Linked DNA regions of Alligator mississippiensis. The protein of the gene in region 2 purifies or fractionates together with the protein of the main gene of each other region. This does not show direct contact. Links are inferred from orthologs where the notes say so. Each region holds a gene or a part of one and is shown on either strand. Other genes may lie near its edges.

Region 1 (7,681 bases), on a different chromosome or scaffold from region 2:
CTGTGACAATTCCCTTACTTTTTCTATGTCCTGAATATGGCGACTGGTCTCTTAGTAACTAGTTAGACATACACCATATCTAGGAAAAGCTCATGTTTCAATAAATGGCCTTATTTCTTATACAATCATTTCCTGTGCTGAAGAAACAAAACAAAACAAAAACCAAGAAGTGTGGAGATATTTAGAAACTATAAATTTTCCCAATAATGTGGGACTTTCTTAACCGACCGTCTCACTTCATGTGCTGTATTACCATACTGGAAATTAACCAGCCGAAATGCAGAAACTAGAGTGCCCCGGATCCGAGGAGAAGTGGCCAGACTGCTCTTTGGGAACGGCTCCCAACTTCTGGATCAACAAATGGAACTGGTTTCAAGTCTCTGAGATCTGCTGACCTTCAACACACGCTACATGGTCAAATTCTTCTCGACACACCCAGGAGTGGTGGGTCAGGAGCCTGTGAGAATTGGTAATGATTTGCCTTTGTAGTCTAGGTCAAAGGCTAACAGTTTTTAAACTAGCATCTTTTAATTCCAGCATTTTATAAATCTAAATCAATACAGATATGCAATTACTACTAAACCATATTGTAATTCCTCTCTCTCTTGCATTTACAGACTTGGAGCCCAGCACTTTTGTCTGTATCCACAAGTTTATTTTAGCATACTTAAACATTTATTTTCAGTGCACAGTTAAAAGGAAAATCAGCTTGAAAGTCTGGGGAAATTATGCCATAGCACATGCGCACGAAGTTGTGGAAAGCAGATCCCCCAGCTCCAAACACAAATATTGTTTTGACTCACTAAAAATGAATAGGTTACAATCTTCAAGGTCTTTAATACTTGTTAAGTGTCAAGGCTTTGAGTTTGATAACACTTTAAAATAAGATTGCTGTCCATATTTACAAGGGAGAACCTTTATCTTTCAGTCTCCATAACTGCTTTTTTGCCCAGAAGATCATTTTCATTTACTCCAAACCTCATTTCTAAAGATGTTATTTCCATGTTACCTAAAAATCTTGAAACTCAAAGGAAAAGGTCACAAGGAAAAGCTGACAAGGGAAACAAAGATATAGTTTTCATCCAGACATTACAAAACCCCCTATACAAAAATGAAGTTGAATTTCAGAACTGTTACAACTGTCAAACATAGGATCAGCTCCCCGAGTCAAACTTCTGGAGGTTTTCAGAAGGCAAAGAAGGGGTTTTGTTAGCAGAATTCACCAATGGCCAAGAAGAGAAACCACACAAAAATCAGTTCGGAAAAGCGCATTTGCAATGGATTGGACACAGTGTGTCAGGAAAAGAGAATTTTTCAGAGAAGCAGAATAATAGAGAGTCTGTTTGCATTTCATGCTAATATAGTCCCCTTTTCCAAAAGATATTCTGCATCGATGAATGCTGGTGACATCCCCTGGGCCAAGTCCCACTGGCGTTAACAGCACTATGTCCATGCAAGGGTCTGTCTACATCGGGGTGGGCAAAACGCGGCCCGCCACACCATTCTAGCTGACCTATGGGGTCCTTAAAAAATTTAGAAAGTTAATATTTATCTGCTGCTGGCTGCCTGTCATGTGGCCGTCGATGGCTTGCCAAAACTCAGTAAGCGGCCCTGCGCCTGGTCTACGTGGAACAGCACACAAGGCTGTGGGGACTTGACATGCATATAGCCTCCCACATGCATGTTAAACATCATGCACCTGCCCAGAAACACTCTGGAAATTAACTCTGCCCGTTCAAGTTTCGTTGCGAGTGCTGTCAGTAAAGGAGGATTAAGAAAATTAGAACTTAAGCCTTAGAAGACAGGAAACCGATGCACCCAGCCAGCGCGCAGCGCAGCGCAGCGCAGCGCAGCGCAGCTAGTGACAGCCCGGAGCTTTCTTTTTGAAGCTCGTAACCAAGAACAAGCAAGCGGAAGTAACCCTGCAATCCGACCAGGACGCACGGCACAACGGGCGCGGGAAGCTGGGCACGACGGATGGCAGGCGAACACCACGCGGTGGAAATGCCCACAACCGACGTCACAGAGGCACAGGTCAGAAAGAGGCGGCTCCTCCAAAGGGACTAGAGACAGCTCTTCCACCCAGCCACAAACGCAACTAGAGACGGGCAACGGGGCGTCTCCGCCGACTCAAACTCCATCCAAGAGGAACTGGAGAGGCTTTCCCCACGGCGGCTCGCGGCATCGGCACCTGCGCTTTCCTTCCACGCTCGAGGCGCGCAACGCCCCGCGCCACGTCGCGGCGCCTGCCGCGCTCGCAAAATAAAACACCGGGGAGGAAACGATTCGGGTTATAGGTACGTACGGCGCGAGCGCGGCCCCGCGACGACACGGAGAGGTCCTACGCGTGGCTGGGAACGAAAGGAGAAGCGCGGCGGCGGCGGCGGCGGCACGGAGAGAAGACGGGGCCACGCGCGTGTGCGGAGAGACAACGTGCGAGGACGAGGCGCCGCACGACGCCTGGGCGTGACGGACCCTGCAGCGCCGCGGGGACCGGCGGGGGCGACCCCCGTCCCGCCCCGCCAAACCGTGCGTAGGACGGGCTGGGCGCCGGCAGCGGCCCGGCGGAGCGGGGAGCCGCCCCCAGGAAGGGCGAGCGCGCGGCCAGAGGCCCGGGCCCGCGGCGGGCCCCGAGCGCGGAGACGAGCCCGCCCGGCCCGCGCGCGGGGCACCGCCTGGCCGCGCTCCAGCAGCCCCGCCGCCGCCGCCGCCACCGCCGCCGCCCGAGCAGCAGGGCGGGGACGGCACGCAGCACGGACGCCGCCGCCGCCTCCCCTCCATGGAGCCCGGGCCTCGGGCCGCGCTGCGCTGCGCTGCGGCGGGGACTGCAGCCCGCTCGGGGCGGGCCCGGCTCGGGTCCCAGGCGGGGGAGAGGTGCCGCGAAGGGGCCGGGGGCGGGGGGGGTGATTTAGCCGACCTGTGCCTGTGCCGCCGCCGCCGCCGCCTCAGCTCCGGCCCGGCCGCTCCGCCACCTCACGGGCCGCCTCAGCGCGGACGAGCCAGGCCGCACTGCGCATGCGGGAGGGGCTGGCGGGAGCCGTAGTCCTAGACCCAGACGAGCCAGGGCCGCACTACGCATGCGGGAGGGCGCGCGAGGGCTGCCGGGAGTCGTAGTTCTAGACACGGGCAAGCCAGGGCCGTACTGCGCATGCGGGAGGGCGCGCGAGGGCTGCCGGGAGTCGTAGTTCTAGACACGGGCAAGCCAGGGCCGTACTGCGCATGCGGGAGGGGCGCGCGGGGGCTGGCGGGAGCCGTAGTTCTATACCAGGGCCAGCCAGGGCCGCGCTGCGCATGCGGGAGGGGCGCGCGAGGGCTGGCGGGAGCCGTAGTCCTAGACCCGGATGAGCCAGGCAGCACTACGCATGCGGGAGGGGCGCGCGAGGGCTGGCGGGAGCCGTAGTCCTAGACCCGGACGAGCCAGGCAGCACTGCGCATGCGGAAGGCGCACGCGGGGGCTGTCGGGACTCGTAGTTTCCGCACGGTTAGGTCGGGCCCCTCCCGCCGCTGTTCCCGCTTTGGGGTCTGACTCGAGGGGGGCAGCTCTCGTGCCAAGGTTTTACCGGGCTTTGCACCGCTCCGCTGGTTTTTATGCTGCGATGACAGTAGATGAGAGCTCCCCGCCTTTGCCTTCCCACTTCGTGCGGCACAAGACACGTGTGTCTACTACCTGTGCCACGCAGAACAGGACGGTTTAGCAGCGCTCCAGCGTGCGCTGTGGATCAAGCTTTGTCCCCGCTCAAGAACCACCAAGTCCAGCAGCAGTTGGCTCCCGTGCAATCAATCAGTAAGGCCTGTCTGCAGAGGTATCTGTGCTCTTCTTCCCCTGCTTGCTGCAATCTTGTACAGGGATCGGTTTATCTGAAGACAGGAAACTTCCACGGCAGCAAAGCAACCATCTCACTTCAAGCAGTTTGCTCCCGAGGCACGAGCAAACAACTGAATTCAAATGCTCACGCCCATGACGCTCTAACATGCACGTTCTGTAGGTTAGCATTTCAGTGATGTAGAGCGATCCCCTCCGAATTTCGGACGGGGCTGGCATCCAGGCATCCTTTGCATAACTGCAGGGCACAAGGACATCTACCTGCAGTAAGACCCCAGCACCTCCCCTCTCAGCTCTTAGTCACTGAGGGCTGCTATCATCTGAGCGCTGTTGCTAGGCCCTTCGCTTTAAACTGGGGAGCAGCCTGTGCGAAGAGATGAGTTGTACAAGATGTTACTTCTAAACATGTCAGGACGGTTTCACACCCTGGTTTCAGGTGTTAGGAAGCTCCAAAAACCAGAGCCTTCAGCAAAATAGGATGGGTGGCTGCGCTACTGTGGGTGCATGGGAGGCTGTCCTGGTCCATCTGGCTGTCACAACAGAAAACAGAAGAAGTGGTCTCAGATAGTTTCAACATATCCTGTCACCGGCTTCAAAGACCAAAGTAGCACCTTAAGCAAGAGCTTGTATGCGACTTGATGAACTGGTCCAACTTCTCTTTTAGATGTAGGCAAGACCTTGCATGGGAGAGGCCGATGGAGGGGTTCAAAGGTGCCTGGTTCTATGGGCCTGGCAGTCAAGGGGAGTGTAGCTGCAGAGCAGCTTTCCCACGAAAAAGAAATGATGAGAGAGCTTTGTAATGATGAAAGCCCACACCTTTCAGAACAGTTCAGCCCCAAGAAAGCAAAGAGAGTGGGTGAGGAAGGTACCCAAAGCTGGCGATGGATTTTGCAGTGTGAAAGGGGCAAATAACAGATGACGGCTGGCAACGTGCCATGGTGGACTGAGCTGACGGGTCACACAAAGAGACGCAAAGATGGGACAGGAGAGGAAGAGATTTGACTGCCTTTTAAGTCATTATTATTTTTTATTGTGGTGGCAGTTAAATTCAGTGCATCTTTAGATATTGTAAATCTGGGTGAACCAGGACTTCAGACAGGATAAAAGTTCTTCAAATTACTTTGTCTAATTAATCAGTATTTGGAAAATTATTTTTAATACGTGTTTTTCAAGCTAGGAGAGAGCGAGCCATGCAGACCTCTGCAGCAGCCTCTTTGGGTGGGTGAGGAAGTGGCATAGAGAGCTTTATCACTTACAGTACAGTAAAGGGCAAGATTTGAGACAGTTGAATCAAGTGAGTGACGTTTCCAGCTACTATTCCTGTAGCTCAGTGTTTCTTGACTTTAGAAGCAAGACATCCTCACTTTTTTCTGAAGAGGCAGCTTGATCCTGTTACTTTTAAATAAGTTATAACAGATCAGGTTCTGACAGGTAGTGCTTAAAAGACAGACCTGACCAGGAACTAGCTCTTCCTTCTCAATTTGGAAAGGCTGAATATATGAAATCTTGTCTTATAACGGAAACTGAGACTACCTGCAGCAGTTAGGAGCAAACTACATTTTTTAACTTGTGTTACATGGTGCATCTGCATATCTTGTGTTTGTTTTTTCAATACGCTTCCTTCCACCCGAGTCAGTGGATTTATACTCTTCCTTCCCTTCCCCCAACTACGGTGATTTTAAATGGCAACCGTAACACCTTCTTTATTTAGCACTTGCTAACCCACCTGTTCTGCTCACTTTCCCCTGGCTCCCATCTATTTTTGGAGACATCTGGGTTGTAGGAAGAACTAGCACCCTGAAAAGCAACTCATCTCTGAACTGGGGACACGGTCCAGAAAAGACCTCTCCCTGAGGTGAAGTGACTGGAGGATAACAAGTACAGTCTCCTGTGCTGGTAGACTGGCTTTTGTCATGTTTCCCTTAAATATAAAAGAAGTGTGAAAAATCAGTTGTTCATTACAGATCACATTTCTGTTTTCTGCCTCTATACAGGTAAAGTCTATTGCAGAGCCACTTAGCTAACCAGCAGTCCTCTTTATGATACCTTTCAATAATCTCTACATTTCCATTGCACCTTTTATCTCTGAGTGCTTTTACAAATAGTGGAGAAAATCTTGTCTTTAACAGCCTGAGCCATATAGCGGACAGCAGACATTGGAGTGGTGCTGTTAATGGTCTGGGACCCTTCGGAAGGCAGGATTAGTCAGCTCTGTTACCTCTGGAATGGAACAGAGCAGCTGTTTAATAGTGAACACCCGCACTTTGTAATTGTTCTGGGTAGGACATAAGTAATAACCAGACTGCGATAATAATACTAGTATGTTACTTCCCCCTTCTTTAGCACCTTTCATCCAAGGAGTTGAAGAGCTTTACGACATTAAATTAACTTCAAAACTGCCCTGTGAGATAGAAAAGTATTTGTCAGCAACATTTTACAGATGGAAGCTGAGGCCTGAGATGATTAAATCGTTTAAGAACGATCACAAGGGAAATTATTCATATAGCAAGGGATAGAATTCAGAACCCCAAACCTCAGCTTAATCCCTTGACAGCATCCCTCCTTCCTTCCCAAAGTGAATCTTGCACCTAGTTAAAACAGCAGGAAGAATTCAGGCTGCTGGAATGTATGAATTCACATGAAATTTGGTCAAGGCAACATCTACTCTTCTGAAAAGGTGGAGGGATTTTTAATCCTTGTATCTGAGTCAGTATCTCTATTTCAGCATCTCTATTCCAGCCTTATTTAAGGATGGAACCGCTAGCAATAATTATATATGAATAATAAGATCACTTAACACTAAGAACCTTATGCTCAAGGACTTCAGTGCTCTTCACAAATATTGGCATAACACCCCGTAGGACTGACATCCCCTAGGACACTGGAGCATTGGGGCAGACTGACTGCCATGAGAGAGCGGTACCTGGGTTATTCTTGGAGTTCTCCATGCAAGCCACCTGCTATGATGGACAATGGTTTTCCATAACTATGTCCACCACCACCAAAGCGCTCTGTGCCAGTCTTCTTGTGAACTCATCACCTCTTAACTTTGGGCTTTTTTCTGGGGAAGAAACCCTCATTAATTGGTATTATTTTTAAATATCTGAAAAATGCTTTGGGGTAATATTTTAGAAAAAAATGTAATAAATAGAACAAAATGACCAGACATAGTAGTCAAACAAAACTACGGAGCAAATGATACCCTGATAAGATCAGGTACAACACAGCCAGTTGCCACCTTGTATTCCAAGCAACAGTAACCCAGAATATCCGCTGGCATTATGATATTGCTCCCTCTAGGGAACTGAACAAGCATCATCAAGCCCCAGCATGCGATTTAGGAAGAGGAATACAGCACGCTTATCTACATAACGTTTGCTGAGGAGAGAAGACAAGTACCCTGAAAAGGACCAACTCCTGGGAGATGCACACACCAAGAGAGAACGTTCCTCTGAAGCAGCGGTTCTGAACCTCTTTCAGTCGACGTAGCCCTTGGGCTCAGAGTGAGACTTCATGTACCCCCTTGCAATGGGAAATTAAGTTTTTAGGCCCTTCGACCTGTGTTAGACAATGTATGAAATATATCTCACGCACCCCCCGAGGAGGCTTCACGTACCCCCGGTTCACAGCCACTGCTCCAAAGGTTAGATACAGCGACTTCCATCATTAACCTAAAGTTTCTGAAAAAGATTAAATCAACAAACATGTGAACAGACAGCAGAAATAAATAATGACAGAGAGAATGAAATATAACATTCATTTAGCTAAACCAGAAACCTCCCAAACCAGAGACTTAGTCAAATGAAGGCTTAAAAGGAGATTTCAAAAGAGAATGAAAATGGTATCTATGCATAGATG
Region 2 (7,758 bases):
TTGACATGGTCAAAAATTTCTATAATTTGTCATGAAGTGTGACAGCATGAATATTTCTTCACTTCGAAAAAGGGCTGAAATATGTTGAGATGCTCTCCTTCTGATTTTAGCTGTTTACAGTTAGGAGTCTTCGCTAGCAAAGCAAACAGTATGCAGAAGCCACAAAGTAGCTATGTGCTTGTAGCATTTATACCAGTTTTGGCCTAACCTATCAAATATTAGAACAGCTTACTATTCCTACTGTTCTCTTTTTCTATATTGGACATTCTTTGTACAATTTAAAAAACATTTGAGAACCCCTGCAGTTTTGTTTTCTTATCAGGATGCTAATTTCAAAGGCCTAGGCATATTAAACCCCAAATTTGTTCTCAATAAAGTCACTTAAAAAATTTAAGTACGGCTGAAATTCTACTTCTTGAATCCATTGCTGTAAGTAGTCACCAGGATACTCTTCTAAATCCTTACAGCTGGGGGGGGAGCAGAAATACAATAGCACAGGGGGCTGGGGCAGAATTGCTTACCTTCCCTAAAGGCACATTTGGGCAAGTCTCCTTCCTCCACTCGCATCAGAGTCCCTCCCCAACTCTTTTTACTCTTCCAGCATATCCTGTACTGTGTACTAGGAAAGGACTGGGGGGAGGAAAGAGGCAGAGGGGTAATGGAAGGCGCACACGCACACACAGCCAACTCAGTAACGTAGATGAAACGTTAACATCTGCTGAAGGATATCAAAAGCTATCTATGGTTAGGCAGTGAACCAGTATAAGAAAATAGATTAGTTAAAACCTTTAATATAACAACTCTTAATTGTTATTCCCTACTTAAAATGGTTGGAAGAAATTAGCACATGCCAGTTAAAAAAAAAAAGTTTGCCAACATGAAAGGCTCAGATTTTTTGTTGTTTTTGTCAACATATTTGAACATCATCTAGGTGAGCTTTTAAGCACCCTATCAGAACAAGAAGTAGTCAAACAAATTAAGATTTAAACTAGGAATTCAGGATAGTCACCAAAGGGCTGTTCCTGAAAACAAACAAGCAAGCAAGCAAACAAACAGACAAAAACCCCACTAGATTTTGCTGGAAAAAAAAAAATCCACATCATTAGCTGGATACAGTAACTTCCTTTAACCATCATGTTTTCAGATTGGCTGTTTTAAGTCATTTGGGACCCAAAGGGAGCACAATCTGAAGGTGAAGGACCCTCGAGCAGAAAGCACTGCAAGCAATGCCCTCTAAGGATTGTCTAAGACAGAAAATATGGGACTAATGCTGTAGTGCTGCAGCTAGCTTCATACCTTAGAGCTCTAGTACAGTACTGCGATACAAATACTTGCCCATCCCCACACTCTGCTTCCATCTTTGTTCCCATAGTTAAGAACCACAAAAATGGAAAGATACAAGTCAGTTTCCTTTTATATATCAACTCAAAAGCCTCCGTTGATCTGAAACTATTGCAGAATGCTGTGGGAAGAGGAACAATCTCTTTGTTTGTGTGGTGTAGACAATATCCAGAGGAAGGTCATTAGGAGCAGCTATTACTTTACATTCACACATGACTTAGCCTGATTTGACTTCCCTCTGCAGACCATTTTTTAGACCGGTAGGCACCAAGCCACCAGGTTTAAGGTGCTCTCTCTCTCGTTTGTAAAGTGCAGCCTGAAATCCAAAGACAGCCAATGGAAGTTCTGAAATACAGGCATAACATGTACATAGCAACACACCACTTTCCTCAGCCTTATACACGAGGCGTTGAAACAGCCCCCAAATTTCTCCCCACCCCCCCAAGTTCATAGGCCATCAGCTAGAACAGGGAGTTTTCATTGAGTACACATTTTACTCAAGGATAAGCAACCTTGAGAGCCTGCAAAGAGAGTTTCATTTAGCTGTTATTTCTGATTACATACAGCCTCTTGAATTAAAAATGTGGCTTAGGAGAAAAAAATTAATAGTTTGTAGGCAAATCTATTACACTGACCACATGCACAAAAGAGCTCAAAAAGAAAATAACTAGACCTATGGCTACTTTGTCACTGTCAAGACAAGAAAAAGCGTTGTTCTGACTTACCTTTTGAAAACTACCCCAGTTTTCAAGAACTCCCCTCCCTCCAAGACAACGTGCTACATATAAACATTTATTTTACATAAAATAAATTCAGACAGACCCAAGTCATTCTGACTTCCTCTTAAGCACATTCAAAATCTTTGCTTAACATTTAAATTAGCAACGGGGTACAGTGGCCTCAATCAAAATTGAGGGATCACTGCCTCAGGGTGGGGGGTTTATACCAAAAAAAGCAGTTTACAGAAATCACAGAAAGTTAGGGCTAGAAGGGAGGTCATCACAAAGTAGGACGAGCCCCAACTCCATCATCCCAGCCAGGGCTTTGTCTAGCTGGGTCTTGAAAATCTCCAAGGATGGAGACTCCACCACCTCTCTGGGGAGCCTGTTCCAGTGTTTTACTACCCTCTGACTAAGGAAGTTTTTCCTTACATCTAACCTAAACCTCCCTTGCTGCACCTAGAGCCCATTGCTCCTTGTTCTGTCATTTGCCCCCACTGAGACCAGCCCAGCTCCATCCTCCTTGCAGCCCCCCTGCAGGGAGGTGAAGCTGCTATTCAATCCCCTCGGTCTTCTCTTCTCCAGACTCAATCAGCCCAGTTCCCTCAGCCTCTCCTCACCGGTCCTGTCCCGCAGCTCCTGAACCATTTTCACTGCCCTCCGCTAGACTCTCCAACTTGTGGGCCCCCCACAACAGAAAGGATGTGGACAGCTAGACACAGGACTCCAGATGTGGCCTCTCCAGTGCCGAATAGCAGGGGAGAATGGTGCCCTCGATCTGCTGGCAGCGCTCCTAGCAATGCAGCCCAGGATGCCGTGAGCAGCCTTGGCAACAAGGGCACCCTGCTGGCTCCTACCGAGTTTCGTGTCGCCCCCAGGCCCTTGCCTGCAGCTCCGGCGTGGAGCCGCTCCCGGAGGCCGCGCACCCCGGGGTAAGGCGCGGCCAAGCAGGAAGACGGGCCGGTTGCAGGACGCCCGTTCGGAGCGGTCCCGAGTCATCCTCCGCCGGGGACTCGGGTAGGCCCGGCAAGGCCCCGCGACCGGCGGCCGGGCCAGGCGGGCGCCGCCGCGCCCAAGGTCGCAGGGGAGGAACGGCGCGGGCGATCGGTGCCCCGGGCCGCGCCGAGTCAGAGGCTTCCCTCGGCCCCGCAACGCCGCCGCGCCCGGCCCAGCCTACCCAGGTAGATGTCCCCGAAAGAGCCACTGCCGATCTTCCGGCCCAGCCGGTAGCGATTCCCGACGCGCAGCTCCATGGCGGCGGCGGCGCGGCCCGCGGCTCAGAGACTGGCGGCGCCCGGCACCATCGCGGCCCCGGGACCGCGCGCGGCACCAGGGAGGTGGAGGATGGACGCGGATTCCCGGGGGCCCGGCGCCTCCTCAGCGGCCCCCGGCCTGAGCCGCCATGCTGTGTGACCTCACTTCCGTAGCAACGGGGCGGGGCTTCCGGCCGCTTCCGGCGCGCGGGTCCCACCTTCCGACCCGCTGCGCTTGGGCCCGGGCACAAAAGCGCGTCCGGGATGACCTAGTCTCCCAGCCCTGGAGCCCGGGATCGAGCCCAGCCCAGGAACCGGAGGGACCGAGCCCTCCCCCCACCTGCTGCTTGCACCACACTCTCAGACCTCGTTTTCTGGCGGCGGCGGCGGAACGCCGGGCCGGGCTCAGCTTGGCTCCCTCAGCCCCTTCCAAAGCACGGCCAGTCCCGGCTGTTCTCAGGCGCGACGTCCTTGGGGCCTTCGCCTCCTTGCAGGGGCAGGCCCTGCAGTGCGGGCAGCGGCCCCTCCAAACAGCCCCTGCCTGGCAGACGGCACATGGGGCAGGGCACAGGCAGCGACCAGGACAACGCCTGTCGGGTGTGGGGGGTGGGCAGCAGTCAAGGGAGACCCAGGCGGTGGTGAGCAGGGACAGGACTTGAGGGAAGTCTAGGTGGGGGGTCAGAGAGCAGGGGGTGCAGGCCAGGATTATGGCTGCAGGTGCTGACCAACAGAGGAGGGTGCTAGGAAGGCTCAGAACAAGGTGAGGAGTAGTAGGGTACAGGATGGGTCTCAGGCTGGGAGTGGGGATGGTGGGGAGGGCCCCCCAGACCAGACTGGGGCTCCAGCATTCATGGCTGCCCTCACCCTGCCCCACCCCCACCTTCCCGGGTTAGTTGCACCCCACTGCAGGAAGCCTTGCCCCTCACTGACCTTTGGGGACCCTAAGTTTTGGGGGGCCCTGGGATTCCCACTCATCCTCTTAACATGTCATCAGAGCCCCCTCCCCATACTAGCTCAGTTCCTTGGGACCCTAAGGGCAGCAGTGCCTACCCCCAGGAGGCCCTCACCCCACCCCCAAGACTCCCTACACCCCATGGGTCTGCCCCCCAAAAAACCTTCCTTGGCCCCACCCCAACCTTGTGGCCTTCTGCTGTCTCTGGGGGACCTTTGTGTCCTTGACTACCTTTTTCCACAGTCTCAGTGCAAGAGCCATGCCATCCAGGGTCCCATCTGAGGTGGGGACCCACCTTCTCAAGCCCTGCATGCTGCCTCTACACCTTTGCTACCAGTCTTCCTCTCAAGCCCCCCTTAACACTATTTACCCTCCTGTCCCTCTCCTCTCCCCAGCTATCTGCTCATGGGGGCATCAGGACACAAGGGGGAGCAAGAAAGCCCACCTCCATGAAAGGCCCCTGCCCCAAAGTTTGTTCTGTGCAACACCAGCCTTTTAAAGGCAAGTGCATCAACTTGGACCTTCCATTCCCTCTTAACAAGTAAGGTACTACCACCCAAGCCAGAAGGAGAAGCAAGAGACAGGTCTATAACTCAACCTTTTCATTACACCTCAAAGCACAAGAATAAATACTTCTATCTATGCCTGCCTAGTTACCTGCAACACCACAATACAGATTCTCACCTCTACCAGCTGGGGAGATGCAGGAGGGAGGAGGCTAACAGCAGGTTGTTTCCACTTTGCAAAAGTCTTTGTAAAGTTTCCCTGCATTTACACCTAAAATTTATATGTGGGTTTTTAAAATCACTGTTCTGATAGCAATAGGTGTAATGCAAATGTGTTTCACTGAAACTTTGGGAATGTGAGTGAACTTGTTTTTCTGTGGGCTTGGGAGATGCCAATGTGCTGGGGCCTGTGTCCCTGGAGTCCGATACAACTCTGGAATAGAGGAGCACTGCTCATCTCTTTCCTTGTGTGCCTGGGAATGCTCTTTGCCCTGTTGTGTTTTACTCTGCTGTTCAGACCTAGTTTAATTTCCAGCAGGTTCACAAAACCAAACATCAGGTGCTGCTTTGAGCTGCTCTTTCCCACCTGTCCAGAAAGCAGTTACTGGTTTTCAGTCTTGTCTATATTATTAAAGGCTGGAGAAACAGATTCTTATTGCACTTTCTCAGGCTCTTCCATGTGATGTAAATGCAGCCCTGGCCCCTTCTGCACGGGGTCGCTCCTTGCTCTTGGGCCTGTAGGGGTCACCTGGGTCTCGGCCACAGCACCTGCCCCGTTTTACCCTGCCCATTTGATCTCACCCATAGATACTTTCAGTGCTTGGCCTCATCATCACTCTCCGTTCCCCATGTGCATTTTGCGGCACAAATCCATGGTGCCGGCGTTCGGTTGCCGCAGCCTGCTCCCAATGCACGTGCGCCTGGAGGTGACAACTCGATAGTTTCGGCACTGGTCCTGTCATCACTGCCTGTGTAACCATGGAAACTCATCCATGCCTCCTGCTTTGGCAGAGCTCCCGTATTCCAATGATGCATGCACCAATCCATAGTCTCGGTGCTTGATGTATTTCGTTTGGGATCACTACGCATGTGGGTTTACTAGCAACATCACTCAATTCAGTGTTCCATTCACGCAACCTTGCACCGCGCATGCCCAACTGCTTTGCCCATAGATGGGCAAATGCAATATGCCACTTCTTCCTAAGTACGCATGCGTGTTCATGGCCCCTCATCGATGTTTTTGTCGAGCTTCCGCGCTGGTCCTCTAATCAGCGCCTCTGTAACCATGGAAACAAAACCATGACTCGAAGACGAATGCGCAAATCCATAATATTGGCGTTCGGCGCACTTCGACTGCGACCACTACGCATGCACACTGACAAGCACGAGTCAGCCACTCGTTGCCGTGCGCATGCGTACTTGGTTTGCCCACTAGTGGGCAAACGAGATAGCCCCCCTCTTCCTTAGGGCGCACGCGTGCTTATGGATGCTCGTCGATGTTTTCCTCGCGCGACTGGCAGTTGGCTCTGTACAGCGCATGTGCACTGGGTCCCACCCCCCCCCCAAGTGATGGCTTAATGCCGCCTCACTTTCCCCGACGCTGGTGCCGCGGCCCCGGGTGGCTTCCGCTGTGGGCCCGGAGCCACCAGTATTGTCCGTAGCGCTCATTCCCAGTGCGCATGCGCTCCGAGACCCGCGCCTTGATAGTTTTGGCTCTCGTCCTGTCGTCATTCCTTCTGTAACCATGGAAATCTATTTCTGATGCTTGGTCTTATAGCGTCCGCAAATTCCCCGGAGGCATGCGCCGCGATCGCGGTTTTTTTTGATAGCGCCCAGTACGCATGCGCAGGATCCAGAACCCTCGATAAATTCGGAGCCCAGCTGATCAACCCTTCAGCAGCCCGCGCGTGGCCAGTCGATTTGCCCATTGATGGGCAAACGCGATGCATCGTCTCTTCCTGAGTGCGCATGTGTTTTCGTGGTCTGATATAGACGCTTTCGGCACTTTATGGGGAGCCCACTCTGTACCATGAATGCGCAGTGGGTGTCCCCCACTGATAGCTTAACGTGGCGGCTGCTTTCCCACACGCCAGTTCCGTACTTGGCGTGGCTGAAGCTCCGGGTCGGGAGAAACGTTGCGGGGGGGTTCATCCCTGCCCCGAATATTGACTCCGGAGAAGCCTAGCGGTCATTCCCAGTGCGCATGCGCATTGAGCCTCTGTAACCATGGAAACCCATCCATGGCTCCTGTTCTGCCAGTGTCTGGTATTTGACAGGATGTACGCACAATCCATAATATCGGCGGTCGATGTGTTACGTCTGAGACTACTGCGCATGCGGACTTGTCAGTACCATCGAGCTATTCACTATTGAAGTGATAAGCGCCTCACGCATGCGTACTTGCTTTGCCCATTGATGGGCAAACGTGACGCACCGCCTCTTCCCAAGTACGCATGCGTGTTTATGGCCGTTCTCGAGAGTTCCGTCGCGTGACTGGGAGGCCCGGGCTCTAGAGCGCATGCGCAGTGCGTGTCCCTCCTGGAGTCCGTGCCTGGGCTGTGCGCAGCTGGGCGGTCTGGCCGTGGGCTGCAGGAAGAAGGGCCTGGCAGCGGAGAAGTCTGCGGGGCCGCTGCTCCTTTGTGCCGAGCAGCACCTCCTGCTTGGCCGCCGCCGGTCCGGATGGCTGGTCTGGGGGCGCTCCTGCCGCCGAGTGCGGAGCGGGGCGGCCCTGCCGCGGGGTGCCGGGTCAGGCGGGACGGGCGGCCCTCCACGGGCCAGACTCGCCTCCGAGCCCTGCGGTGCCCACCCCGGGGTCATCTGATGCACACACGCTACGCCCAGGAGATCTCTGGACAAGTACAAGAAAAGCCAAAGCAAGTTCTTCAAAAAAAAAGTTCACCATTTTATTGGGACCTACCTCGGTAATTGAGCACCTCTGCCAAGAGCAGCTACATACAGCAGAGCATACCCGGACGCACGCAGTGCCC

What was found.
Region 1: the proteins of CSNK1D (region 2) and GAPVD1 purify together in Homo sapiens (affinity purification with mass spectrometry; 5 studies listed by BioGRID and IntAct, counting the BioPlex papers as one, with this or other methods). This does not show direct contact. The link is inferred for Alligator mississippiensis from reciprocal best matches to the Homo sapiens genes CSNK1D and GAPVD1.

The regions. Positions count from the first base shown.
Region 1 is NC_081835.1:66,455,606-66,463,286, reverse strand, and holds the start of GAPVD1 (GTPase-activating protein and VPS9 domain-containing protein 1), read right to left. Parts: upstream 3,023-7,681; 5' UTR 2,918-3,022; intron 1-2,917. UniProt on the Homo sapiens protein: Acts both as a GTPase-activating protein (GAP) and a guanine nucleotide exchange factor (GEF), and participates in various processes such as endocytosis, insulin receptor internalization or LC2A4/GLUT4 trafficking.
Region 2 is NC_081831.1:124,407-132,164, reverse strand, and holds the start of CSNK1D (casein kinase I), read right to left. Parts: upstream 3,075-7,758; 5' UTR 3,060-3,074; coding exon 2,918-3,059; intron 1-2,917. UniProt on the Homo sapiens protein: Essential serine/threonine-protein kinase that regulates diverse cellular growth and survival processes including Wnt signaling, DNA repair and circadian rhythms. It can phosphorylate a large number of proteins.